Struthio camelus: one gene and its partner. The protein of the gene in region 1 binds, or shares a complex with, the protein of each later gene. Links are inferred from orthologs where the notes say so. Each region holds a gene or a part of one and is shown on either strand. Other genes may lie near its edges.

Region 1 (15,157 bases):
TTTCCTCCTGTCTCAGGTGTTTGTGGAGACACTGGACAAGTGCTTTGAGAATGTCTGTGAGTTGGACCTCATCTTTCACATGGACAAGGTGGGTTCTAGGCTTCTGCGCGCTCCTCTAGGCCACCACCTTTTGTTTCATCCCGGCATCTTGCTGCTTTTGAGCTCTGCCTTCTCTAGCACGTACATTCCTGAGCCCAGAAGCAGGCTTCGCTCCAAGCTCTTGAGCGTTTCAGGAGAGCCTATAGCTAGGTTCTTCCCTGAGGGAGATCAAAATTCTGACTGGGAAGATTATCAGTATGTGTTCTTTATAAGCTGCTCGTGCCATGTCCTCCTGGTAAACGATCCGAGTTGCTTGGCTGCGTTCTGAGTCCTCCGTGTGTAAGCTGGCTTTAGGTTCAAAGCACTTGCCCCAGTTCCCTGCTGCGTTGCTGTTGTGGTGCTGTGATCTCTGCTACAACAAAGCAATCGGTTTGTGGATATGGGTTGGTTCTGATAACTGCCCTAGACGTGCTGGGTGTTCACGTGTTCATGTGACAGGGATCCATGCTGAGGCTTCACTCTCCACCTCTTGCACAGTGGTCAGCACTGATGGAATTAAACAGGATCTGATTTTGTATATAGGCATTTTACCTCTTCTTACTGCGCTGTAGGACACTATTTGGAGTCTTGTTAACATTTCATTAGAGCTGGAGAAAACAAGGGAAAAAACAATGGGAGTATTTGGAATACAAAGTGTTTGGTAAACTTTCATTTGAGCCACAACCTTTAATGCTTCCTCTTTAGCTGGTCAGAGTTTCTGGGTGGGAACCTATTCTCTTTGATCATCTTCTAGATGCAACTGAAGATAGCAGGGATTATCCTTAGGGATAGGAGAGAGTTAGCTGATGTGTCCTGGGCTTGTGTTACTGCTGATAAAAGTTGTTCCTGCTTTGCTGAAGACAAAACATAACAACAAAGAGGAGGAGTGAAAAGATCAGTAAAGCTGTAAAACGTTCCCTTTCTGTTGGTGGTTCTTATTTATAAATTCTCTGGCAGAGAAATAGAGTTAGCAGATATTCTTAGAAGATGCTCTGGAGCAGCTGAATGTGCTAACAACTGGTTAAGATTTTGACTTTATAGTTTGCTTGGTTGTAAACTTGCAGAAGGTTTACAAGGTTGATTGTGTTGTCAGCAAAAAACACTCTTTATCAAAGCAAACAAAAGGAGAGGGAGACGAGAGAGGAAATCGGTGAGGAGTACCTGAGGGAGAAGTGATGCAGCAACCCAAATCTTCTGTGGCAGTGTCTGGAGGAGGATACACTCTCATTTACTCAATTTGCGGAGTGACCCAGACCTGGCAGCTTTACAGTGATTCCGCAGTCCACAGGCAGAAGAGGTTGTTCCTATTGCTTGTGCATTTTGCTAGCATTAGCATGAACTGTCCTTCCTCTAAACTTTCTTGACAAGCTAAGGATTCAAAGGAGACAGAAATCAGGAAGAATTTCTTACAGGGGAAATACTAGGCTCAGTCAGCCCCAAGGCTCTCATACTAGTTAGGTTTGTTTATTTCCGGTTCTGTGTTCCTTTTGTTTCCCAGCCTTGACTTCAGTCCTTGGCCGCTATCAGTTGGTCCTCCTGTTTGGACTTAATCTATCTTTCTATATTTAGCATTTGCTTGATTCCCGGATGTGTTTCTGCTGACTGCCAGTGGTTCCAGCTGCTAGGTTACAGGCTTGCACTGTTGGGAGCGCTGAGAATATGCAGGTACATTGTGCTGGTTTCCATGTCTTGCCCCTCTGATGTCCGGACAGAACGCCTCTCACAGGCCCCCTGCCTCCAGACTTCAGTTTGTCAAAGGCTGTGCAGGAAAGGTTGGGCATGGCGCTACCTTCCGCTCTGACTGATTGATTACAAAGTTTGTGAGTTCCTGACTAGAACAGGGGAGAAAGTAAACCAACGTCCACTGGAAAATGCTCACTGGTTGAGCTGAGCCTTTGGCTGTTAATATCTCAAGCCCAGCAGGTTCCGGCTAGGATTTGGGTGCAGCCTTGCCTGGACCCTGTGAGGCGGCAGCATGAAATCCATGAAATGAGAGCTTCTGCAGGTTTCTGGTCCCTGGTCTTGCAGCAGGCAGCTGAATGGGGCTGTCGAGTTTGTGGTTCACAGGCAGCCAGTGGCACAGGTACTCTTATGCTGTCAGCTTTGGAAGCAGGAACCATGAAGCTGCAGGGATCCTTCTTTCACAAGGAGAGGCTGGAGCTGTGGAAGTCGTGGAGAGACTCAGAACAGGCTGCATGATGGCATGGTCCTGTTGTACAGACCCTAGTTGTGCTTCATGCCTTGGATGAGAACGTGAGTTTTGCTAAGCAGCTGCAAGGTCCCAGAAAGGACACGTTTTGTTCAGGAAGCGCTGTGTTTCGTTTCTGAAAACAAAGCTTTCTTGGAATTTCTGCCCTGTTGGTTTTGGTCCAATTTGGACTGAAGCCAGATCTTGAAGGAACAACATTTCCTGCAGCCCAGATGCTCTCCTGTTGCGGAGAGCTGCTAGTATCGTCTTGTGGCGTGTTTGCAGGGCTGGACGTTGGTGGACACTGGTGCTGTGGGAGAGCAATTACTGTGCTGTGGTGCTTGGAGGCAATCGGGTTATTATGGCTGACCCAGAAAGGGAATGTATGGCAACTGGCTTTCCCTGTGCAGCACTGTTGAAAGACTGATCACAGCACACCTTGATGCTCCTGGCACTGTCAGGGCAGGGCAAGACCCGTGGAGAAGCATTACCGGGGCATCGGGCTTATAGCTGGGCAAAGCTGGATTTTCTCCTTCTGGTAGGTTCTCTAGCGTGGTTTATTTTTCACAGCGTTGCCCTGCAAGTATTTGCCTCACCATGTTTGCAAGTGCAATCAACCCTCATGAAACCATAAAACAAGATAATAACTTAACCATCTTTCAGTAATAGCCTATTTCACGGAAGTAAGCAGAGACCCATAAATTCATTATCTGTGCTGGGTTGCTGTTGGAGACTGCTGACTTAGCAAGGAAGTCTGTACTGTGCTGGATGGTGTAACTGAAGGTGTGTCACAGCAGCACAGCATGGCCCAGCCCACCTGTGATCCTGTATTCTTTTTTCTGGGGTTGCCAGCCAAGACAGGCCTTGTCTAATGCTGTGGTTGCAGTGTATTGCTGGTTCCCTTTCTGGCTGGGGCTGGCAGGAGGTAGCAGCTCTCTCCTTTGGGACAACTCTGTTTCATCCTTGGCCCCTGGAGCAGGAAGGAGACTCTCTTAACAGTTGTGTCCTTTCCCTGTGTGTGTGTGTGTGTGTGTGTGTGCACGCGCGTATCACAGTCCTAGCTATTCTAAGCGAAAGTAACAAAATCAGGCACTTTGTCTCTGGCCTGGCTTTGGAGATAGAAGAAGGAGAGGGAAAGGAGGATAGGTAGAAGGTGTGAGAAAAAGTATGCTGACTGGTGGCACCAGGGAGGCTCTCAGATCACTGCTGCTCTGTGAAGTGTCCAGATCCCAGTGCCTTGAGGCCACTGTTCTCATGTGCGCTTTCTAGTTGTTCCCTGGGATGAACTGTGCCCTTGTCCTAGAGAGGTCTTCTGCTGCAGAGAGGGATCAAACTTCAGTGCCGCCATCAGGGATATTGCAACCAGGGTGTGTCAGTGGGACAGGGCCAGACCTGGCCTCCCTTGGGGCTGTTTTGCATAATGGTCTGATGGGCAACATTTACTCCAGTCTCTTTGGTCATTCTTCTCTAAAGCAGAAGTACAAGCAGTATATCTGGCTTCCTGGACTGTCACTGAGGGTCCAGGGCAAGGGTCAGATAGGCAGCCAGCTGCCAGAGCTGTGTTTGCTGCGCTTTCTGGCTGAGATGAGTAAGGGGCTGGATATGCATGTCTCCGGGAAACATCAGCCCCCAGCACTGCTTCCACACTTGAGTAAGTGGGCTAATTCACCTTGCAGTGGGTGCCGAAACCCAAGATGTCTGGTCTTCCTGGCCAGCAAGTCATTCAGTCTGGCCAAGGCGCAGTGCCTCGGCAGAGATGGGGTCTCTGGCCAGCGCTCCACACTGCAGTGCCCGCTGCTTTGTCCTGAATCTGGTTGTCCCAAAGGTTTTCATCCCTGCCAGCCTGCAGGGGCTGCGGCCCCTGCAATTTCCAGCATGCCCATGAACCTGGACTGGGTTCACGGTCTTCCCTTGCCTCGTAGGTTCACTACATCCTGCAGGAGGTGGTGATAGGTGGCATGGTGCTGGAGACCAACATGAATGAGATCGTGGCACAGGCAGAGGCCCAGAGCAAGCTGGAGAAGGCAGAGGTGAGTGGTAATGCCGTGGCTCTCCCTGGTGTGACCTGCAGGGGAGGACAGCATGGGGGTTTGGGAGGATTTGGTGCGATGTGCTGGGGTATGCAGTGCCGGTTGACCGGAGGGGCAAAATGTTCCCTGGGACGTCCGTGGTGCATAGGTCTGATGTGCTCCAGACTGACGAGGAGGGGCAGGGTGTGTGGTCTGGAGTGTGTGGGGGAGAGGAGCTTGTGTATATGGGTTGTTCCCAGCATGCCTGGGTTCTGCCCTTGCGAGCCCTGAAGAGAGCGTTCAGGGCATCCCTCATTCGGCTGCACACCTTGCTTCAGGTGTATAGGGAGCAGTCAGAGTGTGGAAATCACTGTTTCCATCAAGATTAGTGAAGTGAGGTAGTGAAAAGTGTTTATTGCCCCTGTTTGCAGGGCATTGTGAGGAGGCAGTTGTGCGCTGATAGCAGGAGAGGGAAGTGCTTGGATGTCCTTGCCTCTCCCAGTAGTATGCTATTAACACAGTTGGGACTATTGATCAGGCAGGCGGTGGAAATGCAGGCTCCTCTGCTGAAGTAGGGGTGCCTGGCTGGCTGCTGGGGTTGAGCTGGGCCTGGCTGCATGCTGGGGATGTGGCCAGGCCCTGGGCGCTTGCGAGCGGCAGCGCAGTGCTGGGAGAGCTGGAGACTCGGACTGGGAATGCTCCCTTGGCAAAGCACAAGGCTGAGCCGGAGGATCAGCCTGGAGCCTTCTAAGCCCTGGGAGTCTTTGGAGCTTACAAAGGGCTGGCAATCACGGTGTTCCCCTCTCTGCTCTCCTCACCAGGGAGGCCTCTCGGCAGCTCCTTCCCGCGCTGTCTCAGCTGTGAAGAACATCAACCTGCCAGAGATCCCTCGCAACATTAACATCGGAGACATCAACATCAAAGTGCCCAACCTGTCACAGTTTGTGTGAGCATCCCTAGGCAGGCCAGGCGAGGAGGACTGTCCATGAACACGGGCTGTAGCCTGGCTGGCTCTCCAGCTGAGAGGACCTGATCTCAGCTGGACTCTCTTTGCCTGTTCTGGATGTGCCCCCCTCCCTGTCTCAGGCCCTGGCCTTGGCCGTGCAGCACGTGGAGGGCCAGGTATGCTGCCAGGGTGCGTGAACTGCCTGGCAGAACAGAGAGCTCTGGTGGGGTGTGGGGCCCAATAAGTGTGGGGTAGTGTTGCTTGCTGTCTGTCTGTCACCTTGGGCCCTGAGCTGAGCTGTGCTCCCTGGTGTCCCTAGCAATAAGGGTGGCCTTTCTTCCCCTCCCTCCCTCCCTCCCTCCCTCCCGGGTGGATGTGCAGCCTCTCCTCTAGCTGGGGCGGGAAAAGCCAGGACCTGGAATTTCTAGTTTTAAAAATGGATCTATCCCTGGTGGCTTCTGGAGGAGCCCTGGGTTGTCCCTCTCCTCCGTCCCCCCGGGCTGTGTTGTTCTGACTGCTCTGGCATCCCTGTGCCCCCGCTACTCCTACTTACTGGGTATGGACCCTCTGTCATGAGATGAGTAGGGGTTTGGTCACCTGTGCTCCTGCTGGGCTGCTTGGTCTGGGCGAAGGGATAGCATCTGCGGTATAGGCAGACATTGGCGGTGAGGGGGGAAGACGGAGTCCTAATAAACCACTATGAAAATCTGCATCTGCGTGGGTGCTGCTGGCCCGGGGGCTGTGGAGGAGCGGTGCTGTGGGGCGGCCTGGCAGGGGGAGCGTGGGCAGAGGGCCTCCGTGCAGCTCCTGCTGGGGCTGCCGCTGCCCAGGGCGGCTTCTCGGCAGGGGGAGCTGGTGCCCAGGCTGCCGTGCTGCAGGGCTGCCAGGCTCTGGGTGCCAAGTGCACGCAGTGTAGCCTGCAGATGGGCTGGGCTTTCCTGCTCTGTGGCCTCCTGGTGCGGGCTTCGAGGGCAGGCTTGCCCGGCACCCCGGAGGCTGCGGTGCTGCCACGGGGGGAGAGCAGGAGCACCAGGAGGGCGCTCCCGGAGCCCCCACCAGCGGGACGGCCGCTGCGACGCGTGTGATGGCGCTGCTTTCTCCCCTCGCTGTCAGGGCGTTGCTGGGACTGGGGCAGTTCACTGCTCCTGTGCTAAGGGCGAGCTGGGTGGTGAGGCCACTGGCCCCTTTGTCCTCCTGGGAGGTTGTGGGCGATGGGGTCAGCTCCGCCTGCCCCTGCCTGGCACCCCGAGCGTGTGGCACCCGCAGGTCGCCTTGCTGAGATCCTGCCCTGCTCTCTGGAGCAGGCAGGGGGAGCAGGACAGCCCTGCTCGGAGGCTGCGCCGCAGCAGTGGCCATCTGCCTTTAGAGGTGGCCTGGCAGGGCTCTGGCCACCTATCTGTGACCTGATGCCCGCTGCCCTCCCCGCCAGCTCTCCGGCCTTGCTGTGCCGCAGAGCCTCCCCAGTCGGCTGTGAGGCCACGTAGCTGTGGAGCCTGCTTTGGCTGTTGCAGAAACGGCGGTGCTCGTCTCCATCCAGCCCCTTCTCTTGCCCAACGCCAGCCGCTGGGAAGCTCTGGGAAGCTCTGCCTGGTAGGAAGCGCTGCTCGCAGGGAGCAGGACGTCGCCGGGCACGCGGGAGGCTGCGGCACCCGGCTCGGCCGGGGCCAGGGCTGGCGCGCGGCCCTGCGGCCCGCTGGGAGCTCTCCCTGCGGTCTGCGTCCGGGCTGGCTTCGGGGAGGTGGCCCCAGTCCGGGGGACGGGTGCGAGGGCTCGGCCGGAAGGAGGTGGCCGGCCGAGCGTGGCGTGGAGGCGTGGGCCGGACAGCGACGTCTGCCGAGCAGAGGTGCTGCTCTGCCCTGCCCCGAGCCCCCGGCTCTGGCGGGTTTGTGTCCTGTCGCGGCTCCATCTGGCCACCAACGTCCAGGGACTGGCTGCGGGAGCCTGTTCCTGTTCTCATTTCCCCTCCCCACCCCCGGCCAGCCCAGCTGCGCTCCCGTGGGCTCTGCCTCCACTTCCCTCTGGCAGGGAAACGGTGACTGTGCTTGGAAGGAATTTTCCTGTGGTCTCCTTGCCCCCCTCCGCTCCCCTCCCTGCCAGCTTAACCCTTCCCCAGCTGGCCACCAGCCACCGCGAGCTGTTCCTGGAGGTCAAGGAGCTGGGCACGCAGTTTCTTCCTCTTCCCCGGCGGCCCTCCTCCAGCTCCCAGCGGAGGTCCGTGCGAGAGCCGGCGAGCGCCCGGCCAGGCAGGGGACGTGGGGTCTGGCTGACCCCGGGGCTTGGAGAGGAAAACTCGGGATTGCCGCAGAGCGCAGGTTGGACGTGGCGGCAGCCAAGCGGTGCCCGGTTCTCCCTCTGCTCCAGGCCACGTGGGGGTTCCCGGGGGCACCCGCTGCGCCAGGGAGGGCCGGGTCCTGTCCAGCCCCAGCGCGGCACCGTGGCGCGGCGGTCGCTGGTGCGGGACATGCCTGGCAGTGCTTGCTCTGCGGCAAGGAGGTGTTCAGGCGCTGCTGCCTCCGGTAGCCGCGTTGTCCTCGCCGTCCCTTCCCGCGTCCTGCCGGGGGCCCGGCCCAGCGGGGCCGCGGAGGCCGAGGACCGCGGGCTGCGCAGGAGCCGGTGAGTCCGTGCCTGCTGCTTCAGGCTTTTCCCTTTCCCCTCCTGCTCCCTCCTCGCTCGTGCAGAGGGGGACGCAGAAGATGGGGTCGTTCGCCCTGGGATGAGTGGGGCCAAACCTCCGGCCGCGCGGTTCCTCCCTGGGGAGGGTTGCAGCCCTGGCTGCGCTGCCCCGGGGGCGCACGAGGCAGTGCAGCCCCGTCCCTCCCGCATGAGGCCCCCGTGCCCCAGGGCGGCCGGCTCCCGCCCTGAAACGGGAGGCCCTTGTGTGCCCCGGCGGGGCGGAGGGAGGGAGGAGGCCTGGCTCCCGCGACGTGGCTGTGCGGCACGCGGCGGCCCGGTGCCAACCCTGGCACCGGTGCTGGCAGCGCTCGCGGGGCTCAGCGCCGTGCGCAGGCGCGGGAAGGGCCGGGGCTGGCCGGGTCCTGGGGCTGCCGGCCCCGTGGGGCGCCTGCGGGTGATGGGGGTGGCCGGGAGGCGCTGCGAGCAGCGGGGAAGGAGGGCTGGCTCCTCCAGGGACGTGTCTCTGCTGCATGGTCGGGGAAACGGCGGATGCAGCGCTGCGTTGGGGCTGGCTCCATCCCTGGCAGCTGGAGCTGGGGTGCCCAGCCCAGCCTGTCCCCTTCCCCGGCCGGGCTGGGTCTTGGCGCCGAGCAGGTGCTGGATTTCGTTGAGATCAGCCAGGGTTTGCTCATGGGAGTGCGTTCCCACAGCTCCAAGCCCTCACCTCCTTGGCAGCGAGGTCGAGGGACGCAGATGGATGGAGCAAAGCGTATGCCCAGCCCCACTTCAGGTACCTGCATACCGCAGACAAGAGTGTTTACCCTCTTCTCTGCCAAGCACAGGGCGAAACCAGTTCCCTATCCCTCCAACTGGGCTCTGCTGGGTAGCTTGGGCCACTTCCAGGGCGAGGAAAACCGCAGGCGCTGCTGCCTCTCATCCAGCTGCAGGGCGCCGCACCAGGCTGCGGCGAGCGGGGCGGCCACCGGCCCGTGGCGAAACCCAGCTGCACCCCGGCTGCAGCCCCGCGCCAGTGCGGGTCCCCTGAGCGGGCACGTGAGCCCGTCCCTGCCGGCACCAGGTAGGGCAGGGCACGGGGCTGGGGTGATGAGCGGCAGGGACACCGCCCCTGGGTGCACCGAGCCAGCTGTGCTCAGCTGGCTGGGTGCCACTGGGTGATGGCGTGACCGGTCCCCGCATCCCCTGCCCCTCCAGCGGGCTGTGTCCCCTGCTCCCCCAGGGGTGAGCAGGCTGGTGAGGGAGCAGGAACCTCGGCAGGACCCTGGGGAGGGGGCCTGAGGCCGGCTGGGCGGCTGCGGGCTGTCCCCGGCAGCAGGGCGCCGCGCTCCCCGAGGCTGCGTGCGCCTGGCGTGGCCCGCTTCCCCCAGCAAATGCCTTCCAGATGCGGTGGCCGCGGTGGGTCCCGCCGCTCCGGGGGCCCCGGCCTTGCTGGAGGCGCTGGCCCCGTGCAGAGGGGTGCCTGCCCCGTCCCCGCTCTGGGCGCACGGGAGCCCGGCTGCAGCCGGGGGCACCTCGCGCCCTGCGCCCTGCGCTGCACGGGGGGACGGGACGTGCCCGGCCAGCCCCTCCGGGCAGGGCAGGCCAGCAGCCCAGGGGTTAAGGTGGCGAGGAGCGGTTCAGGTTACTTCCCTTGGAGCCTTAGGAGGAAACTTTCCTCCCGCTGGCTGGCCGAGCTTGCAGAGGGGAGCCAGAGAGAGCCGTGGGCAGGCAGGGCGCAGGCAGGCTGCCCCGGCGGGGATGGGGCAGGCAGGGAGCCTGGGGCCTGTCGCGCCCCGGGGCTGAGCGCACTGAGGTGAGTGGGGCTGCCGCAGCCCGGACCCACGGCGGTGTCGGGGCAGAGCCTGGGGCCAGCAGCCTGCAGGCATCGCTGGGCTGGGCTGGGGAAAGGAGGGTCTGCGTGCCTGTGCCCGGGCTGAGTGCTGCAGGGGCTGCGGGGTGCACGGGGCCACGGCGCTGGGCAGCGTGATTTACGTGCATGAGGAGCATGGGGTGCATGCGTGCTGCAGGGGCTGCGGGGCGTGCACGGGGCCACGGCGCTGGGCAGCGTGATTTACGTGCATGAGGTGTATGGGGTGCATGCGTGCTGCAGGGGCTGCGGGGCGTGCACAGGGGCCGCGGTGCTGGGCAGCGTGATTTACGTGCATGAGGAGCATGGGGTGCATGCGTGCTGCAGGGGCTGCGGGGTGTGCATTACAGTATGGAGCATATGTGTACTTTAGGAGGGCTACAGCGTGTGTGTGAGAGAGGTTATGGGGTGTGCAGGGCTGGGGCCTCAAGGAACCTCTGTGTGCGCGTGACCCAGTCTCTTCTGAGCGCCAGGTATTTGCACGTGGCCATGGAAATGGGACACGAGGTGCAGTGAGTGCCTGCTATCTGCAAGGAATTGCATTGGGCAGAGGTTTTGGGGATGTGCCCTCACCCGAGCCGGGGTGAGCACTGGCGCACCGTGCCGCAGGGTGCCTCTGCGAGGAGCTGGGGTGCGGCATGCCCATCGGTGCAAGCTGGAGGGTGTTTGGGGGTCCCCGGGCACCGTCCCCGCTGGCTGTGGCCCCCGTCTCCTGGGGGGCTGCACTAGAAGCAGACCCTGGCCAGAGCGTGTCCTGCAGCCCCAGGGCCTGCGCAGAGCCGCGGCTGGGCCGGGCGGTGGAAAGGTCTGACTCCGCAGGGCCGGGGATGCTGCACGGCACGGGGGTCGGGACGGCTCCCCATGCCCTCTGCAGCCACCAGCGACACCGGCAGCTGTGTCTGGGCGCTCTTGGGACGCTCGGGGACGGGGCTGAGTTCCCTGAGGATGTTTCTTATCCATTTCCTATGTTCTTCCCAAGCCCAAGCGCTCCTGCTCCCGGCAGGGCAAGTCCTGCTGATGTCACAGCGCTGGAGAGATCAGATCTTGGGAAAAGGCACTTTCTGTTCCCGGGGCAGGATGGATCGCGCTTCCTCTCCCCGGGCCCTGCACGGGACTTTGTGCCTTCGCGCCTCTCTCCCTGGCGGAGCTCCCGGGCAGACCCGCGTGGCAGGCCAGCTCCCGCGCCCGGCGGGAGGGCGGCTCCGGCTGCTTTCCCTGGCAAAGGCACAGCTCTCCCTGCCCTCGCACGTGGCGCACCAGGCGCCCCTGCCCTGCGCACCAGTGCATCGGGCCCCGGGAGGTTTGCTCAGCTCCCAGCCGGAGCCTGGGGTCCCGGTGCTGTGGGGTGCAGGCGAGGCTGTGCCGGCCCGCGGGACGCCCGCTGGCTCCCGGCTGTGAGCCGGCCGCCGGGAGCCCGGAGCTCGCCCTGGCCTGCCGTGGCCACGGCTCTCGCACGGGCTGAGCGCTGCCCACGGTGCCCGAGGCTGCTCGGGACCCTGCGGTGGGAGCACCAGGCACCGGGCACACACTATCTTGAGATGAGTTCATGGGACCTGGAGTTTGGACTCCTCTGGTACAACATAAATCTGGTAATACGATCTTGGACTTTGTGAGCACAGTGGGCAGGGCAGTTTCGCCCCAGCGCGGCCCCAGGCTTCCACCCTCCTGCCTCGGCGGGACCCCCGGGCGCGGGCTGCGCTGCGCCCTCCTGCTCGCCCCCAGCCCCGCGAGACCCGGCGAGCTCTGCCGAGCCGTGGGCAAGCAGGGAGCGCCGAGTCCAGCCTTAAGGAAACCCCGGTCTGGGCTGGGGTACCGGGGCCGTCCTCCTCGCCCTGCAGAGAGCCGGGGTCGTGGCCACCAGCTGTGACACCGCTCTGCTCTTCCCTTCGCAGGGCCAGGCAGGCGCCCAGGAGGGAGCCCAGGCGTCCTGGCCTGCAGCCCGCGCCCGTTCCCACACTGCCTGTCCCTGTTGGTGCGGTCCCGAGCTGCTGGCTTCGCCCCAGCTGCAGCAACACTGCACTTCACATTACCACTGCGGCACAGCAGGGAGGCAGGTGCACAGAGAGCGTGTCCCCGGGGGCTGTCACCCCCCTGGGCCTCATGGCCGTTTAATAATTCACCCATTAACCTGGACTAATAAACCTCGTGGGAGCGAGAGGCTAAAAGCCGTGCCAGGTGGGCAGAGCCTCCTTCCCCGGTGCTGCTCCTGCAGTCCCACCATGGCGGCAGGGTTCTTCATCAGCAAGAGCGTCGGCATCGTGGCCATCGTGCTGGCCCTGGGGGCCGTGGCCACCATCATTGCGCTCTCGGTGGTGTATGCGCAGGAGAAGAACAAGCCTGCCGCCCCCTCCGCCTCCACCGCCACCACTACCACCACCACCACCACCACTGCCCCCATCACCACGGCCGCCCCCAGTAACCTCTGGAACCAGTGGAGGCTGCCCACAGCGCTGAAGCCGGAGAGCTACGAGGTGACTCTGAGGCCCTTCCTGAAGCCCAACGAGAACCAGATGTACATCTTCACGGGCAACAGCACTGTGGTCTTCATCTGCGAGGAGCCCACCGACATCATCCTCATCCACAGCAACAAGCTGAACTACACCATGCAGGGGGGCTTCCACATCTCGCTGCAGGTGGTGGACGGCTCCAGCCCACCTGCCATCAACAAGACCTGGCTGGAGACCACCACCCAGTACCTGGTGGTGCAGCTGGCAGCGCCGCTGCAGAAGGGCCAGTACTACAGGCTCTTCAGCATCTTCACCGGGGAACTGGCCGATGACCTGGCTGGCTTCTACCGCAGTGAATACATGGATGGGACGGAGACCAAGTAGGTGGAGGGCGGAGAGGGACGGTGGGAGACAGGGAAGAGGGAAGGGAGCTCAGGGAGAGCGGGTCTGTGAGATGGGCTGTGGCAAAGCATGGGGCTGGCCCAGAGACAGCAGAGGGCACGGGCCAGGTCTGGGGCATCTTGTCTCCAGCTGGGACTGCGGAGACACAAGGCTGTGGGTGCTGGGGTGCTCCATCCCCTGTGCCCCTGGGGCACAAGCCACCCTGGGTCTTGCCCTGAGCGTGTCCCCGTGCTCCTGCCTGCAGGCTGGGCTGGGGAGCAGGTGAGGAGCAGGGTGAGTGCTGCTCCCTTTGCTCTGCTGAGGGATCCTGACCCTCCCATGGGGCCATGGGGGCTGCGTGAGCTACGGGTGCCAATGGGGGATTCGTTTGCAGGGTCGTGGCCACGACGCAGATGCAGGCGACCGATGCGCGGAAAGCCTTCCCCTGCTTTGATGAGCCTGCCATGAAAGCCAACTTCACAGTCACCATCATCCACCCGACCGACCACAAGGCGATTTCCAACATGCCTGCCAAGAGTGAGTGGGGCAGAGGGAGCCCCAGGGCTGGGACGGGGGGCCCGGGGCAGGCTGGCGATATCCCATCCTTCTCCTCCTCCTTCAGGCACCTGGCAGCAGCAGATTGATGGAGAGAGCTGGAACGTCACCGAGTTCTTGACCACCCCCAAGATGTCCACCTATCTGCTGGCCTTCATCGTCAGCCAGTTCGAGAGTGTGGAGAACACCTCGGGGAGGGTGTTGGTAGGGCTGGGAGCTTGGGGGACAGGGCAGAGCCTGGCGGGGGACGGGGGCTCGGGGTGTCGGCACGCATGGGACGGGGCAGAGCCGAGTGGGGGCTGAGCCCAGCGTCTCTCCCCTCCAGATCCGCATCTGGGGCCGTCCCCAGGCCATCGCTGAGGGCCAGGGCAGCTACGCGCTCCAGGTGACTGGGCCCATCCTCAGTTTCTTTGAGCAACACTACAACACGTCGTACCCGCTGCCTAAGTCTGGTGGGTGCTGGGGGGCAGTGGGGCTGATGGGGCAGCGCTCCCCAGCTGGCGTGCACGGGAAGGGGGTCGTGCTGCCGGCCGTGGGAGCAGCGGCCGGTCCGACCCCTGGGAAGCACCGCGCCAACGGGGCTTCTCCCTCCCCCAGACCAGGTCGGCCTCCCCGACTTCAACGCGGGCGCGATGGAGAACTGGGGGCTGGTGACCTACCGGGAGAACTCACTGCTCTACGACAACGCCTACTCCTCCATCGGCAACAAGGAGCGGGTGGTGACCGTCATCGCCCACGAGCTGGCCCACCAGGTGCCCGGCGGCCCCCTCCTGGCCCGTGCCCCACGGCCGCGATGGGCTGGCTGACCGCGTGCTCTGCTCCGTCCGCAGTGGTTCGGGAACCTGGTGACGCTGCGCTGGTGGAACGACCTGTGGCTCAACGAGGGCTTCGCCTCCTACGTGGAGTACCTGGGCGCCGACTCGGCGGAGTCCTCCTGGGGCATCGTGAGTGCGGGGTGCAGGGCACGGGGCGGGCTGGGGCTGCCAGGCACGGCCCCGCCGCCGGGAGGGTGCCGCGGGCGCTGACGCCGGCCCCCCGCAGAAAGACCTGATGGTGCTCAACGAGGTGTACACGGTGATGGCGACCGATGCCCTGGCCAGCTCCCACCCGCTGTCCTTCAGAGAGGAGGAGATCAACACCCCGGCCCAGATCAGCGAGGTCTTCGACTCCATCGCCTACAGCAAGGTGGGTGCTGGGGGGACCGAGGGGGTCCCGGGCCGCGGGTGGGCGGCAGGGGCGGCCGGGGGCTGCCCCGCGCCCGCCCCTCACCCCCTCTCCGCAGGGAGCGTCGGTGCTGCGGATGCTCTCCGATTTCCTCACCGAGGACGTGTTCAAGGAGGGGCTGCAGGTGAGGCTCCGCCGGCGCCCCGAGCCCCGTGCGGGAGGGCAGCCCGCGGCGGGGGGCTGCGCGGGGGCTGGCGCCTCCCCGGGCGCCGCTCGCCTGGGCCCTGCCCTCCACCGCTCTCTCCTCCTGCTCTTCCAGTCCTACCTCCACACCTTCGCCTACGGAAACACCATCTACACCGACCTCTGGGCTCATCTGCAGACGGTAGGAGCGGGGCTGGATGGTCTCCCCTGCCCTGCCGAGCCCCCTCAGCCCCGGCGTGGGAGGGGGGCAGCCCCCCGGCCCCCCGTGTGGGGACCGACCCAGTGACCTGCCGCGGTCCCTTCTCCCGCAGGCTGTTGATAGGAACAACGTCTCCTTGCCCGGCTCTATCGGCCACATCATGGACCGCTGGACGCTGCAGATGGGCTTCCCCGTGGTCACCGTGAACACGCTCACCGGCACCATCAGCCAGAAGCACTTCCTCCTGGACCCCACCTCCAAGGTGGACCGACCCTCTGCCTTCAAGTGAGTGGCCCCATGGGTGGGTGGGCAGCAGGGGCCAGTGGCAGTTTGTCGAGCGGTCTGTTCTCTGCTGCTGCTGGGGGTTCCCGGACATGCCGGTGGGGGCAGCGTGGTGGGCGAGCGACGGTGCCATGGTCTGCCCGTCTCCCCGGCACAGCTACACCTGGATCATCCCCATCACCTGGCAGACGTCCAACAGCACCGAGAAGAAGTACTGGCTGGAAGAC
Region 2 (15,514 bases), on another chromosome or scaffold:
CCTACGGGAGAGCGTTTGTGTGTCTGAACTGTACCTTGGAGACAAATCCTGAAGCCAGGCGGAGGATTGCACGGGAAGCTTGGCCTCTATCTTGTCCAGGTCATTGCCATTAATGGGCTGCACCAGCACTAGCAGAGCGTTCTTGCTGACGGGAGCTTCAATCACAGCGAAGGTCTTGCTGGCGTCAGTTTTGTACTTGAACGTCCCCATCACTGACATCCCAGGCACTGAGACCTTGGTGTTTGAATCAACCCAGAATTTCTGAGGCTCTTTCAGCCGCGAGGCTTTCTTAATAGTGACTGAAAAACAGATTGAGAATTAGTAATTGATTCTCCTTTCTTTCTTTCTTTCTTCCTTTTCACTGCTGCCCTTAAAAATTATGTCTGTTCCAAAAAAGCACACTACGTGTTATACGAAGGTCATGTGTATAAGATGATGTGTAGGTACCTCAACCATATGTATCCTGCCTTTTAAGTACCCTCTGACGGCATGAGGTAGAGGTTGGTGCAGACTCGGGGCACGAGGTCCAAACAAACACGGGACTGCTACCAGAGCTACTGTATTTCCACCGATCTTGTGGCCTTTCCTGGACGCAGTATTTCTGTTTACCTGGTTACCTACCTCCTCCAAGACTACCAAATGGTTCCCAGTTTGTTTCTAGGCCTGTGTGGAGGGTCTGTTTGGGTTTCTGTGACCTGGGCAGCTGGGAAGCCCGTGGCAAGTGCCGCAGGGATGGCCCTTGCTGCAGGGATGCCCTTAGGTGAGGAGAGGCGGCCACAGAGACAGCTGGGGGGCTTGTGAAGGACAGCTATCACGAGCTCTCCTCCAAGCCTCACCTCGGGTGATCTTGAGAACCAAAGCAATGACGGGCTAAGCCCTAAACATGACATGTCGTTTAGGCCAAGGAGGTTAAAAGGACATGTCTGAATGCTTTCTAAACAAACCTTAATATGAATTTCTTACCCAGCTCACAAGTATAGGGAGCCTTGCTCTCGCCTCCTGCTGCTCCTGTGCAGCTTTGCATTTCAACAGGTTATCTGCCCATTGCCATAGATCAGTGCTGCTGCCCAGGTGGACAGAGAATCCTGTTGACGTTAAAGAAGCTGCTGCCATCAGTGAGAAGGGCAGAGTTCAGAAACCTTGAAACTGCTCTTTGGCGGAAAGGAATTAGGAAAACAGATCATATGTTGTGGTAAAGAAAGGAACCCCTGTAGTAAAGTATTATTGGTGTAAAATAGGACTTGGCCTAGCTGTACTGTCAACCAGTCTGTTCTTCAATAAATCTAGATAAATCCTGGGCCCTAAAACATTTAATACGTAATAAATTGTTGCTTAAAGAAACTCTTGCCCTTTAGATGACTTGCATAAAAAGGCCAAGACGTTTCACTTAGACATTTTCTCTTAGTATGCTAACTTCACCAAAAAAAAAAGCAGCAGGCAGGAACGTGAAAGGCATAAACAAAATAATGAGTATAGTTGTTCACTTTTCTCTCATTTTACTAGAACAAAGGATATAAGCTGAAAGCAGAAAGGAGCCATTTTCACAGTGTCCGTATAACCTGCAGTACTTGCTGCACAGGAGAGCAGAAGCTGAGACTGTAACAAAGGTAAATAAAAGGAAAAAAGAACTGGGCATTCAGATAGCTGAACATATAAGGTTGTGATGGTAACTATTTTTAAATAGTCTTGGAAAGCACATAAAGAATCTTAGCGAGAAATAAACCAACATTAATTACTTACAAGGCAGCAGGTTAGCTAACAGGCTGCTTACTGATATTTCCTTCCCCTTTTCTCTGAAGTAGCACTGCCCTGTGTCAGCCATGGACGCTTGAGGACATGGACCTTGGATTTGCTCCAGGCTGTTCTTATGTTGTTATTAAGTAAAAGGAGCTCTCCAGAAAGAGTTGACTCAAAGGACCAGGAAGCTAATTGCCTCTGGCACGTTACATGCAAACGTTTGGATGCAGAAAGGCATCTTGAAGCAAGAATGGTGCTTGGGAACTTCACAGTTTAGTTGTATGTTGTTTTGTTAAACGCTGCCAGTGGGGAAAAAAATCACTGGTTGGGCAAATAAATGAGCCAAGCGGATAAATTGTTTCTTCAGCAGTACTGTTTTAATTATTTATTGGTGGTAGCGCATTTGGATCTGATTATGCAAAGTTTCAAAGCTCTGCTGTTGACTGTGGGACTGGGTTCATTAATATTGGGCCAGTCATGAACCACCATAAATCAGCATTGCTGTGCTGAGAGAAATGGCTCCCATCAGCCTTTTGCCAGGTAAGGATTTGGATGCTTCTGCCCTCAGCCAGGTTTTTTTCTGCCAGATGTTCCACAAAATACTAGAATGTGAAGGGAACGACTGGGAGCTAAGCACGCACTCCCCTGAAAGTGCTGCAGAAGCAGTCGGTAGTCTTAATACAACAACTTGTCACTGTTCCTTACAGCACTGTTTTTAAGACATAGAAGAGATCTATTTACTAAAGAAACCCTGCTTTTTGCTCAGGCATGTGGAATGTAAAACAAAGAAATTCAAAGGTGATGAACATCCCGTCGATAAAAAGTGCTAGCTGTCACTGGAAGAAACGCGTTATTGCACTGAGTCCTCTTGGATTAGGACATGGTCACTGTGGGGCTGAGGAACGTTTTGTCAACCACGTGGGAGCAGGGAAGAAAGCCTGTATCTAGAAACAAAAGAAAGATAATGGAAGGGAAGTAAAAATCGTGGAAGCCATCAGTCACAGGCTGAAGATATAGCCTGAGAGCCTGGGAGAGGACAGGAGTACTTTGGAGTACTGCCTCTGGAGGACAATAAAGAGACACTGGACCTCTCTGCTTCAGATAAGCTATGATTTTTTTCGTTAATAATAATAACAAAAGGCAAAAAGCATCCCACCACGTTTCTAGTTAAACCTGAAGGTGTTCAAGGTTATATATGTTTGAAAAGCAGCCTAAAGTGGGGGAAGGGAATTAAGAATCCTGCAGTCTCACTGTGCTGCATCATCCATTTCCATTTGCTCGTTTGTAATTATTTTGCAACTTTACAAAGAAGTCTGCTTCTTTAATAGTAATAATATTTCATGAGCGGTAGATTTCTAAATGCAATCTGGGCTTAGCATCCAGTTTGCAAATGTGACAATTGTGTGCAAGAGAACAGCAAGTGAGACCATTGCAATATTTAAACTTTGTTTTTACTGGATTTTTTAATCAATCCTATGGCTGTCAGTAATATCTTACGCACATATGTAATGTGTTCCAGAGCAATGTAATGCTTTTTTTTTTTCCTTCCTGCAGTTAAAGGAGCAGGATGTGGAACTTGTAAGCACCAGCTTTCATGGTTGCCCCTCCATAACCAAACTGCAAAGCAAATGCTGAAGTCCATCTCTAGTATTCATTGGAAAAGAGTTGTTTATCTAATTCATTCATCCTTGAGCCAGTTTTTTCCAGCCCACACATGGAAACTGCATCTCAGAGGGCATCCTCGGGAGAGAGCAGAGGAAACAGCACTGACCTAGTGACTCAGACCCTCAAACGTGTGCTTCTAAACTAATAAAACAGCAAGTTTCCAAGACAGAAGACAAGGAAGAAATTGCTCTGCTGAAGGAAAAGTCTGCTCTTGCGATGATACGCAGCTCTGTACAAGGTTAAAATACAAGAATTACTTTTACAGCGCTATCTGTATGCTTGACTGTACACTGATGAAGCGAAAGCTGGAGTTCTTGGCCCCCAGTACTCACACCTTTCACCCGAGGCTCTCGGATCAGTTTATAAGCACGATAGATCTCCAGCAGACAGCACCCATCAAAGGCAAAGAAAATCTGATCTCCGTTTTACAGGTGGGAAAAGGAAGGCTCAGAAGCATTTCATGAGCTCCACCTTTAGCAGTAGATGCCTACTTAGACACTTGCATCTCGCTGGAAGTTCTCTGAAATGTAGTCATTGGTAATGCAGGCTGCCATAAAGCTGCAACCTCTGGTATTGTGTTCAGTTGCTAGGATGGTGAAAAGCAACTGCGCTCAGCGGAGGAGGCTCCGTGGTCGTACAGGGGCGTATCTGGGACAGCAGCAGGCAGTAGCTCCAGGCAACTAAGGAACTGCCTTACATCTTCTCATTTTGGATATTCTCCCAACTGGCAGCTTGCTCAGTTGCTTCCTTAGCCAGAAGTTGCCTCCGGACTTCTCTGTTTAACAGCCACTAGAGGAGCCATGTCTGCGGTGTGGGTTGTTTTCTTTTTTTTTTTTGGCCTTTTTTTGAATCCGTACCTCCAGCCTGCACAATATCCTATAACACATAGTCCCCTCTAAAACCATGTGTTGTGTGAAGAGATATTTCCTTTTGTTTATTTTAACCCTACTTCCTGATGACTTTCTCTAGAAGCCCCTCACGGTTCTTTTTTTCCTTTTGTGGTAAGAAATAATCCTCTCATCCTTTGCTTCCTAGCTGAGGCTAATTTCTCCGAGGCAGTCTGCCTGCCTTGTCTCCATTGCCGTGGCGGGGCGCTGGCAGGGTGAGGAGAGCAGGCGCAGGGCAGGACCCGCAGCAGAGCAGGCGGCAGCACCTGGGTATGCGGCACTACACCTCTTGCACTGCACCTTTTTCCCCTCGCTGTGGGAACCTCCTCGACCTTGCCTCCTCCTCAAGAACAGAGCCTGACCCAGCGCAGCAGCACGGTGTTGTTAAATGGGACGAACGGGGGAGACTGGGGCATTACCTGCCCTTGGCGCGCTTTGCTGCTGAAATGAGCCCTTGCTGTTTCTTACCTGCCAAGTGAAAGTCTGCTGCAAACAGCAGGCTGGTGGCTGGATCGAGGTCTGCCAGTAAGTGCTTGCTTCGGCCCCCGCTTTTGGCCTCCACAAAGGCGTTTATCTGTTTTGCTGCCGCACCTGGGTTTGTGAAATCGACGGCTCGAACGTAGAGCGCGTTGGCAGAAGGGACCAAGTCATGCACAAATAATTCAGACAAAGGCACCCTGGGGGCAGAGAACAGGTAGAGCGTCTTGGAAAAGAGCAACTCCTTATCCCTGTTCTTGACCAGGAGGCTTTCGATAGTCCTCAGGGTTGAAAGGACTTTGTGTCCATCGACTGTGGAAGTGCAGTCAGGGTCTCCAGAGGGGCTAACAAATCCCAGCAAACCCTGCAAATCAGTTGCCGTCTGGTTTGACGCACCTAGGTAGAAGGACACCAAGGAGCCATAGACACTGGTTGGTGACAGGAGGAGGTTTTGGCCTCTGTGTGCTTCCTTCAGCTCACTGTAAAACCGTGCACCTAAGACATAGACAAAGTCCTTCAGGCAGCTCACTCTCTGCCTCTCTCTGATGCTCAAGCTCATGGTTTCCAGCTTGACTATGTCATTCAGGTGATCTTCATAGGCAGGTCTGGTTTGGGACTCGATTGAGACAGGGACAAACGTCTTCTTTCCTTCCTGGACCAGGTTCTCCAGCTCCTCGCAGGTACTCTTGTTAAAAGAAAACAAATTGAAGGGGTGGACATAGACGCGGTCACAGGCCACTGCTGTGAGGCATGCGAACAAACAGACAAGATTTGCTGCCAGCTTCATGTCGAAAAACCACCTCCACAGTGTCTCCTTAAAGAAAAAGGAAGGAAGATTGATTAGCTTGCTATAAATACTGTTCATTTTACTTGTATGGAGAGGCATTAGCGTAACGCTGGAGTTACAGAGGTGAGAATTGCTGTATTTAGTGCTGGTCTGACTCTGCTCCCTGCAAAGTCCAGGGTGAAGTCGTCACCAGTTTCGATGACGGGAGGTGGAAAAATGCTAGGCAGAGATTTGATTTTCTTAGCCACTGTAGTACCCTAAAGATTCAGGTCCTGGAAGCAATATGGTCATGCACTTGGACCAGTTAAGCTTGCCAGCTAGAGCGTACTAGTTCTGGCAAAACCCTGTAATAATGCAGCCATGTTGTTCCAGGGACCTAGTCAGAGCTACCTCTGCGCATTGCTGCACCGAGTCTTGGTGACACACGGACGGGCTAAGGAGCTTGCCTATTGTTACGCGGGAAGTGCTTTGGGAAACTAGGTGTCTTAAGGTCCTCTAAGCCATCCTGTTTTATATGTCTAGGCAGCAGAACGCTTGCCACTAACAGAGCATTTTGCGTTTTCATAGCCCAGCACAAGCATTCACTCTTACCACATGGCTGAAATGGATGCTTCTAGGCAAACACGTGCAAGGCTTCCTTATACAAATACACCAACACTGAAATCTTCAGGAGGGCTCTAAACCACTCAGTGCCACGTCTGTATCACCAACACTTTCATTTATATAGGGAAGTGTCCGGGTTTAAAAGCAATGTTCAAGCCCTGATGGCTTCCCAGCCTGAATTTTGATGTGCAGCCATATATCACTGAACGATCTCCAGGTCTTTTATGGCTAATAATTCTCCAGTCTGTGGTATCACCATTCTCTTGCAAATACAAAAACCAAGATGCACAGATGTTTGGTAATTAGATGTATACCTTGCCAAGTACATATGCATGTTAACGTGCACATCTGCATTCCCTGATTGTATGTTCATATCTAACAGGATTGTTTGCAGACAGGGTCTCTGCTGTTGCAGTGGTCCCTCAGGATGTCTAAACATCATCTTAGCTAGTGTCGGCCGGTCGGACCCTCAGTAATTTGCTCTGCACAGATGTGGGGGCAAAGACTTGCTGCAGAGCTCAAGTTCCAGTCCCATGTGTTCACACACGGTTTGCTCTTCGCTGTTAACTCCCATCCCAGCCTCTAAATTAGCACGTAGGTGGCGGCAGTTGCTGCTGTCCCTTCTGCTCCCTTCCTCTGTCTCTCTTTGCCTCACAGCAACTAGAGCTCGTAGTACGCTCCCAGCCCAGGTCCCGCAGCTGGGGATGTGCAGTGCTGTAGGGTTTCCATGCTGCTTACGACCAGTTAAAAAATTATCTTACGAAATATCCTTCCAACTTTCTCTTCACAGTTAACCCAGCCACTGTGCTAGAGCATTTCCACTCTTCTCTCCTCTGTGTTTTCCAGCCTGGGCCAGGCTCGGGGAAAGAAACAGAGACGCCAGGAATTGGAGGCATTGTCCTTCCCTCCCTGGTCTTCTCTATAATGATTCTGTGTCTCTGAAGCACTCCTTAATCCTTCCTGTAGTAGCAGTGGGAAAGACTCTGTGCCACTTGCTCTAGAGGCAAAGCTATGGCTGTGCCATAAGGCACAGCTGGTGCCTGGAGTTTGCTTTCCTGCTGTGGCTCTAGCCATGTTGTTAACTCCTTTCTCATGAGCAGAAGCAGCAAGAGGGACAGTTTTCGCTTCCAGCCCTTATACTAAGCCAGATCTGCGGAGAGCGGAGTCAGCCCAGAGCCTTTCGCAAAAGCCTGAGATCTTGAGCAGAAAAACTGACATTCAAAGCAAAACCAATAAATGTGCTTACTCGCGTCTGTCCAGATCTGAATCTCCCCCTCCGACAACGGGCAGGCTCCTCTCAGCACCTTTTTGCTCCTGGAGTGCTGTGTTGTGATTGCAAGTGGCTTTATGCCCTTTCCGAAGGGAGGGCCCTTTCTGGATGTCTCCAGCAACACAGCACGAAGCCGCTTTGCACCTCAGGCTGGGCGGCTGAAAGGAGTTGGATCAGGCCAGATAGGACCTGATGAAACTTGAGTGTGGCTTGACGCTGGATTCATAGAAGAGTCTACAGATCAATACACAACCTTTAACCAGACCCAGTACATTTGGGTAGTCTGCAGTTAGTTACACATTTACTAAGATGGACACAGACTCCTTGTTATGGAGAAAGAATTGATTCTAGGGCTGGAAAATAAGTCAGTCCATTTTAAGTCAGAGTCAGAATGAACATTTCCTTGCACCTGCATTTTACTGTACTGTCAGATCAGATTTTTCTCTTTTGGATAAATTGCTTTTAACTTGCAGCTTGTGAACCCATCAGTAAATGGGATATGTACTTCCACGCAGAGTGAAATGATTAAGCTCTCAATCTCTAGCCTTTCTTTTTCTCTTAACCTATCCAGAAGATCAAAAGTTTGTTTCTTTTCATCATAAAAACAAAATGTGTTGAAAAGGACAGGATTAAAGCTAGATGGTAAGGTTGCCAAATCCAGATCCCGTTCTCCACAGGGAACTCACCCCTCCCAATCTCAGTTTCTCAAATCCTAGGATGTCAAAATATTGTCATGCATAAGGGGTGGGATTCAGAGGTCTTTCTGCTGCTTTAGAAGTGATCCTCCGATTTTGCCGGGCTACTTCTTCCTCTTTGAGTAAATGAACAGCAAACCAAACTGGGGCTGCTGCCATTGGATTAAACTGAGTCCCGTTCCCTGCCCTCAGTGTACTTAAAGTCCCATGGCTCCAACAGGAATAAGACTGAGTTAATGGCCATACCCTGATCTTAGAGAGCCGATCAGGCATGGTAGGCCCTGTGGAGCCCAGTGACATGAAGACTTCAGGGAGAGAGGCAGGAACGAAGGCGGGACGGGCTGCTCACCCTGGGCCGGGGTGACTAACAGCGACTGGATTGCACTGTCAGGATCGGAGAAGGGATGGAAAATTTCCGCAGCCCTGCTTTTCATTTAAACAGCTTGATTACTTTAGCTGTAATGAGGTCTAAAAGCAGTTCTGAGTATAGGCCCGTGTGGCATGCCATCATGCGCACGAGGCCTGAATAAACAGCTTGAAATATTTAAGGTGTTTTCTCCTCTCCCTGCCTGAGCATCCCAATCTAAGAAGCATCTGTCAACAGAGCAACCCCCGAGCACTTATGCAGTCTCCAGATGGCTATAAAAGGCATGCATCCCCGCCACGGATCCAGGCAAGCGAGAAGCGGTTCCTCCATTAAAAATGCATTTTGTTGAGCTAAATATTGAGAAGAGAGAGAGCTGGGTTTCTGGCTGTAACCCCCCTTTGCCTACAGCTCTCCCTGCAGCCAGGCAGCCAGGTGCAGCCGGCTGGGGCCCAGCTTCTCGAGCCCGGAGGAGGCTTATGCGGGACGTGGGGTGGCACCATCAAACCTGTGTTTCCTGCTCCTCTGCTTTTGCGTTCGGCATTCGGCACCAGTGGTGTGCGTGGGGGCCAGACCGTGCCGGGCCTGTGAGCTGTGGCTGGTCCACTCTGTCCTCCTATGCAAGACTTAACCAGCAGAAAAAGGAAACTGCAGCACAAGTTTTCAGTGTCCATAGAGGGATTTCAAGCCTAGGCTGTTTCAGTGAAGGGCACTTTGTGCTCTATAAAACACTGAAAAATATCCTTATTAACAATAATTGTTAACTTTTGCTGACAAGCCATGAGGGATGCTAATAACAGATGCTACAGCTGCCAGACTCGTGTCGTTACTGTGGACAATAAACACGGGAAGAGGAAACCATGTAACCTGCAGCTGCTGCATCGTCCTCCTTATATCATTATGCCTTTAGCCATGATTCAGAAATGCTGCCGTAGCACACTGCGGGAGCTGTCCTGGGGGGCATCCCTGCTCCCAGCTGCCCTGGGGCCCCCCTGCAGCCCCGGCTCCTCTTGCCGCGGGGAGGCCGGGAGCAGGAGGCAGCTCCCGGGTGGTGCTCTGGCGGCTCCATCGCACAAAGACAGCTCGGTTTTTAGTTGAAAGTCTTCAGGTTTTTGGCCGAGCCGATCTTTTTTTTCTTTTTGGTGTGTGCGGGCTCGGTCCTATTTTCTTCAACAAAAAGTTGTCAGTAACTTTGGGGAGCGCAGGGATTGTTGTTTCTTGTTGTTTGCTTGTTTTTTCCAAACTCAATCAATAAAGTCGTTGAATGAAAAGACCCAACGATCTCTAGAAAACAGTTTCACGGGAGAGTTTTCAGCTTCTGCACTGCTCACAGTCGCTGTGGCCAGCAGCGTGCAAGAAATGCCTGCGCCGCATCACTGGGGGCGAGTGAGCAAGGCAGCGGCAGCTGAGCCGCTTTTACCACTGTGCTACTCCTGCTTTACGTCACAGGAAATCTGGCTCGACTCCGTAATGAATTAGAAGCTTTGATTTTAGCTTATGTTTGTGTCTTTGTACAAAGCTCAGACGCCAAGTCCGCTGCTCATTCACACTCGCTCAATTAACATTCCCCGATGAAGATGCATCAGGCACTATCGCACTTCTTAGAGCTTCGTATTTTAATCGTTTCACACTTTCCCTCTGGCTGCACACACGTTGCTACACCTGGGAACATATCTCATCCTGTTATGACTTAATTACAGTTAGTTTTTTACTCCTGAGCCATTTTTAAGCCAGAGTGCACAAATATCGTTCTAATTACTAAATGTGGACTCTCTTATCAGGCTTTTCCCCCCCCCCACCCCACCCCTGTAGAGTGGGGTAGCCAGGGTTTCAGGAATGAGCATGTGCTTCAAGGTAGAGCTTCGACTTCCGAAAGGTGAAAGTCTCTGCCGTGCCCTCAGCTACCCTGTCTGAGGATCTGGTGCCCCAGGGAGCTGTGGCAGAGGCACCGTGCCAGGCAGAACGGGCACAGAAAGCTTTCCAGCCACCCCAGAAGGTAAAAGCAAGACCTCTCCTAAAGGCATCGCCAGCCCAAACAGAGCCCAAGGCACACGCGTGAATCCCACCTTGCAACAGCCACCGAAAAGGCGCAGAGAAACACACACCTCAAACCTGCTTTTCGAGGAAGATGCTCATGCTCTTCTTCTCCCCCACTCTCTGATTTTGGGAGGTGACCCAGGTTTCCCTTTTATACCCACGGTTACATAAGCGGTGCCCCAGCTCCCATCCCCCAGGCGCTGCCCTGATTTCTGTTAGAAACCTTTCTCTGTTTTTGCTGTTTGTTATTCATGGTGGCGGCTTCCCCCTCCAGAGAGGGAGCAAAAGAGCGGCTGAAAAACTGGTCTCATCGGCACTGCACTGCGGTTTTTGTTTCCCTCGCATCCTCTCTTCTCCTCTCTTTTGGGCTATTGAAATTAAATCCGTTTGTCAGACAGGCTGACTCTCCTGACGTACGAATGGGGAACCATTGGCGGCCAAGGAAAATTTCTCAGTGTTATTGCTGTTAGTGTTTCTTTATGTAAACACCGTCAAATATGCTTCATAAATTTTAACCCTAGCAGAGGAACACTAATCTTAAAGCTAGCGGCGAATAATTAGATCTTGAATGGAAAAATGATTTGGTCCAAGGTTGAATATCAATTGATGGGCACGCAGGCTCTCCTCTTGCTGATGAACACTATGTCTCTGCTCTGTCAAACCGTGTTTTCATTGATCCACATAGTTCTGGGAAAGGCAGTATAAAATTCAGCACTTTATGTAGAGACAATAGTAAATATTTTATTCTGTTTTGTTCAGTTTGTTTTCCAGTTTGCTTAAATTTTGCCCTGAGATTTGAATTCAGAAGCAGCCAGACATATTACTGTGATGATGCTCTTGTCTCCTGTGAAGTTATGCCAGGAATTATTCAGAAGGAAGTTACTGTGGATCGAGGATAATAAGTGACTCCACTCGCTGATTCAGCCCACAGACAATGCTGAAAACCTTGAGAAACCTTCATGGATTGAACTGGCACCTCTCACCTATGTAGATTAAGAACCTGCACATGGCCAGCTCAGACGTGGAAGTCTGTACATAGTCACACCTCATTAGTTACTAGATGTGAGGATTTCTTTTTTTTTCAGATTAAAAGTACATTCAAGGAGAAGTAGGCACAAACAGTTCATTTATGCAACCTGTGGATTTAATTTGGTAATCGTAAACATTCATCAACATCAACATCAACATTCGTAACTGTTCCCCTTCTCTTATGTTTTGCCAATGGAAGACAATGTGAGATCCAGATACGGCACCCGAAGGAGAGGACGAATGACTGCTGGGAAAATGACCGGAAAACAGGGAGAAAGAAGAAGCCTGTGTGGGAGTACCTAACAGAAAGGAGACAGGGAATATCACTTTATCAGCAGCTGCAGTGGTTGCTGCAGATATGGCAGGCGGTCATGAAGCTGGAAGGCAGACCACTTGTGAGACACGCAAGCCACGCTTTCTAGAGCAGCCAAGAGCTTAAGCAGACTCCGACTCTTCGGCTTGGAAAAGCGGCCACAGAGATGGGGAGTGTAACCATATAATGATGAACAGCATGAAGAATGCAAACAGGATGTCCTTGCTCACTGTTTTTTCACAATGCCAGAATCAATGGGTACCCAGAAAAATTATCAGATAGCACATTTAAACAATAAGAAGTGCTCTTTCTCATATCTCAACCATGGAAGTCACTGCTATAGGATGCTGCAGAGACCAAAAATATTAATTAGTACAAAAAGAGATTAAATGAAATCACAGAGGATACAGCCATCGCGGTTACAGAACATGATGGTCCCAGACAACTGATTGGCTTGAATCTGAGCTTGATCGGTATCGCAGCTCTCATGGTCCTCCTTAAGGGCTTGTCTTCAACCTGTGATGGAAATGGAGATATCTGAGCTAAGGCCAGGTTAAGCTGGCTCGTCTTGTGGCACAAACTGGAAACTTTTTTTCAATAGAGCTATCACAGGGAAACATCACAGCTAGCAAGCCAGCCCTCGGCTGCGGTGTGGCTGTACTGTGCTCCTTTGCACAGTGCATTTAGGAAAACTGAAAAACTTTCAAAAATTGTGAGTAAGTTCTTAATGTTAATCAACCACTTTCAGGTTTTGGTTTTTTTTTTGCTCTCTCACCCAACATACCTGTACTAAACCAGTGGTACCATGGTGTGAAATTTGTCTCCTCAGGTCCTGCTAGACCTTTGCTCTCTGTTCTCACTTGCACGGCACATGAAGTATGCAGTGACTTCTTTCAGAGCAAGTAAGTCGGGAAGAAGGTGTACAGAGCTCGTGTTGTGCCAAGCAGGTTCCTGTGTGGTACTAGACCAGTCTTCCACCCGCTCTCCCTGTGACAGCTGTGGCAAGCTGCCCTGGGCCTGATTTTCTTTTGTTTACTTGTGCTATCTTCGGTGGGGAAAGGCTGGGCAAAGTAAATTTTTTAACTGTTTTAATGCAACTTTGATAAGGAGTAGCTTTGTATGTGGATTTCATTTTTTCATGTGTTTTTCTCTGTATACCTGACGCCTGCCCTTGTTGGCTGGAAAAACTTTTCCAGAAAAGTAGTTGGTGAACAGGAGGAATGTAATCAGTTCTTGCCCAATTTTTGTGTAAAGAGGATTGCAAAAAAGCTTCTAAATAATAGCATTCAAAGTACAAATGATGAAAGAGAGAGAGATTATCGGGCACCTCTGCTTCTGCAGCAGGTTCTCACGGCGAGGAGCGATGGAAAAATTTGTAAGGGAGCTGGTACAAAACCCAAGGACCGCTTGTACCCAGGCTAACCCTAGGGTCAAATTTGGGAGCAAAACTGAATCAAAGCCATGCTTGGCTATTCCCTCAGGGCGAAGTTACGTGTCAGATGCCATGCTAGGCTAGCAGCCCACTGCCACTGAGCTGGAGGGCCCTCCGCCCCGTGCTCACCTCAGCCTTCATGCTGCCCTGGCCCTTGCCGAGCTGAGCACCGACTGGTGACCGGCTCTGGTGTGCACGGGGGCTCCGCTCTCAGCTTGTCTCCAAACGCCAAGAAATGCGCTGCTCCCCACAGGTGCAGACCAGGGTAACGCTGGGAGCAGGTGCGGTCAGCCTCTCACTTTCTCGCACCTCTGGCACAGCCTGGGTCGCACTGGCCCCCCGACAGCCAACAGGGTTGATGGAGGCCAGGCTGGACTCATTTTGTAGAAACATGGCTGGGTCCCCAAATAACTACACTTACAGTGCAGTAATCCCTCCCTCGTACACAGAACGGCTCTTTCAGACAGAGCCCGCAGCTGAGGTGCCATGGCCATGCCAGCCACTCCTGTAGGCATCAGCCCCAGCTTTGCGGTGAATGGTTTGTGATGGACCACGCTGGTCCTAGCCTGGCCACGAACCTTCCCTGCGGAGAAGGGTTCCCCTTCCTTTTCCCCTCAGCCTCCCTCTAGCTGCCTCCATCCTTCCTTCTTTGCCGACAGCTGCTTGCCCTGGGCGGGCAAGTAGCAGGGCTCATATTTTGGCTGTCACTTGATGTTCCTCTGAGAAGAGTATCTGTTGCAGTTTCCCCTCTCACCCTGCCTCACTGGAGGAGCACTCTTATGTGTATACAGCTTGAATAGTTCACCAGTGAGAAACAGCCTGGCTCCTTCTCTGTTGCGGTGGTGAAGAGCTTCCTCCAATCTGTGGAGTCTTAGCTCCTGAAAGGCAGCTTCCATGCAAAGAGCCAGTGACAGGGGCAATGCTGCAACTTTCTTGGGTCAGCAGAAACGTTTTTCACTGCTCCACATATAATCTATGTTACAAAAAAGACTGAAGGTTTTGGAGACCCAAGACAAGAATGAGGCTTTCAGATCCACTTTAATTTGAAGGGTGCATAGCTCCCAACAGCAAAATTGTTGGCCTCATTGGACTCCCTCCCACTTTTGGATTCTGATAGAAAGATGCAAAGATGGTAGAAAACAGATAGACTGAACCAGGCAGCATCACGTTAAGGGTGCCCAGGTAGATAACCTTGTCTAAACAAGGTTATCTCTCCTTGGAGCTGCAATGTGCCATGTAGCTGCATCACAGCTCTTATAGGACTAGCTCCAGTAACACTGTGTAAAAGTGGGAACCAAATTCCCATGTGAATGCCTGTGTGGATCTATTTGCACATCTGAGTCTGCAAAAGAAGGAAAATACATTACAGATAAGTGCTGATCCAGCACATTGCAAAACTGCATGGATTTCTATGGCTTCCTCTCTTCCTAGGCGAAGGTGCCTCCGTGTGGAAGGCCTCTGCATCTCAGCTAGGCATGCAGTAGGAGCCGTGTTTAACACCAGTATTTGTGGCTAAAGTGCCAATAGCGTTTGGAAATGTCATTGCTTTACTTTTTACTTTATTAAACCAGTAATTCTGAGAGCAAGAGAAGGCAAAAACTTAAACTTTTACCCACCAGTGTTTTGTTTAGTTTCGTTTTGTTTTCTGGAAATAAGGAGAGACCCTGTAAGTTTTTGAGGTTTCTAAAGGTAAATAGCAAAAAACCCATCCTCTCACAAACCAGAATGTTGTGCTTTTTAGTTTTTAGTTGATCATTTTTAAGCAAATGCATAAATGTTTGCTGCAGTTTAGAGTCTATTTTATTTTATCTTACTTCTTTTTCTCCCCTTTCAATATTAAGCGTAAGGGCATGATATAACATTTTAGCTTACTGCTTAAAGGATAAAGCTAGGGAATAGTAATTTCAACCCAGGATATTCCTAGTGAGAAAAGAACAAAAATTGCCTCCTGCTCCTGGTCAGGATGCTGAAGTAGGCACTAATGAAAGCCTCTGAAAACCATAAGCTCCCCAAAGAGCCCAGTGAGTGCTCTCAAAGCCATTCGCACAGGAAAATCTGAGTTCCCATACGGTTTCCTCTGATTTGGAGGTTTGAAGGCATGCTACAGCTTGGCTCCTCTCCCACACTGCCACGCAGTGTTCCTCAGTCTAATAAAAAAGAATGAAAATAATCTTAAAAGCGTCCTTCTGTTTGTGAAATGACCCCCTCCTCCAGATAA

Evidence for each region.
Region 2: the proteins of ANPEP (region 1) and AGT are in contact, whole or in part, in a crystal structure (PDB 4FYS), measured with the Homo sapiens proteins. The link is inferred for Struthio camelus from reciprocal best matches to the Homo sapiens genes ANPEP and AGT. Residues at the interface, in NP_001141.2 of Homo sapiens: Gln211, Gln213, Ala351, Gly352, Ala353, Met354, Glu355, Arg381, Val385, His388, Glu389, His392, Glu411, Glu418, Asn438, Arg442, Phe472, Tyr477, Ile864, Phe896, Ser897, Asn900, Gln903, Ala904, Arg907; in NP_001369746.2 of Homo sapiens: Val27, Tyr28, Ile29, His30, Pro31, Phe32.

Annotation. Positions count from the first base shown.
Region 1 is NC_090953.1:683,578-698,734, forward strand, and holds the start of ANPEP (aminopeptidase N), read left to right. Parts: upstream 1-7,320; 5' UTR 7,321-7,533; intron 7,534-7,813; exon of another isoform or gene 7,814-7,834; intron 7,835-9,480; exon of another isoform or gene 9,481-9,644; intron 9,645-10,071; exon of another isoform or gene 10,072-10,171; intron 10,172-11,590; 5' UTR 11,591-11,917; coding exon 11,918-12,525; intron 12,526-12,920; coding exon 12,921-13,063; intron 13,064-13,148; coding exon 13,149-13,285; intron 13,286-13,406; coding exon 13,407-13,533; intron 13,534-13,678; coding exon 13,679-13,833; intron 13,834-13,911; coding exon 13,912-14,025; intron 14,026-14,122; coding exon 14,123-14,266; intron 14,267-14,363; coding exon 14,364-14,429; intron 14,430-14,564; coding exon 14,565-14,630; intron 14,631-14,760; coding exon 14,761-14,933; intron 14,934-15,087; coding exon 15,088-15,157. Other genes in the region: AP3S2 (AP-3 complex subunit sigma-2), read left to right, coding at 17-88, 4,189-4,296, 5,097-5,225. UniProt on the Homo sapiens protein: Broad specificity aminopeptidase which plays a role in the final digestion of peptides generated from hydrolysis of proteins by gastric and pancreatic proteases.
Region 2 is NC_090944.1:91,961,633-91,977,146, forward strand, and holds the start of AGT (angiotensinogen), read right to left. Parts: upstream 10,740-15,514; 5' UTR 10,591-10,739; intron 7,681-10,590; exon of another isoform or gene 7,403-7,680; intron 5,581-7,402; 5' UTR 5,554-5,580; coding exon 4,758-5,553; intron 300-4,757; coding exon 35-299; intron 1-34. UniProt on the Homo sapiens protein: Essential component of the renin-angiotensin system (RAS), a potent regulator of blood pressure, body fluid and electrolyte homeostasis.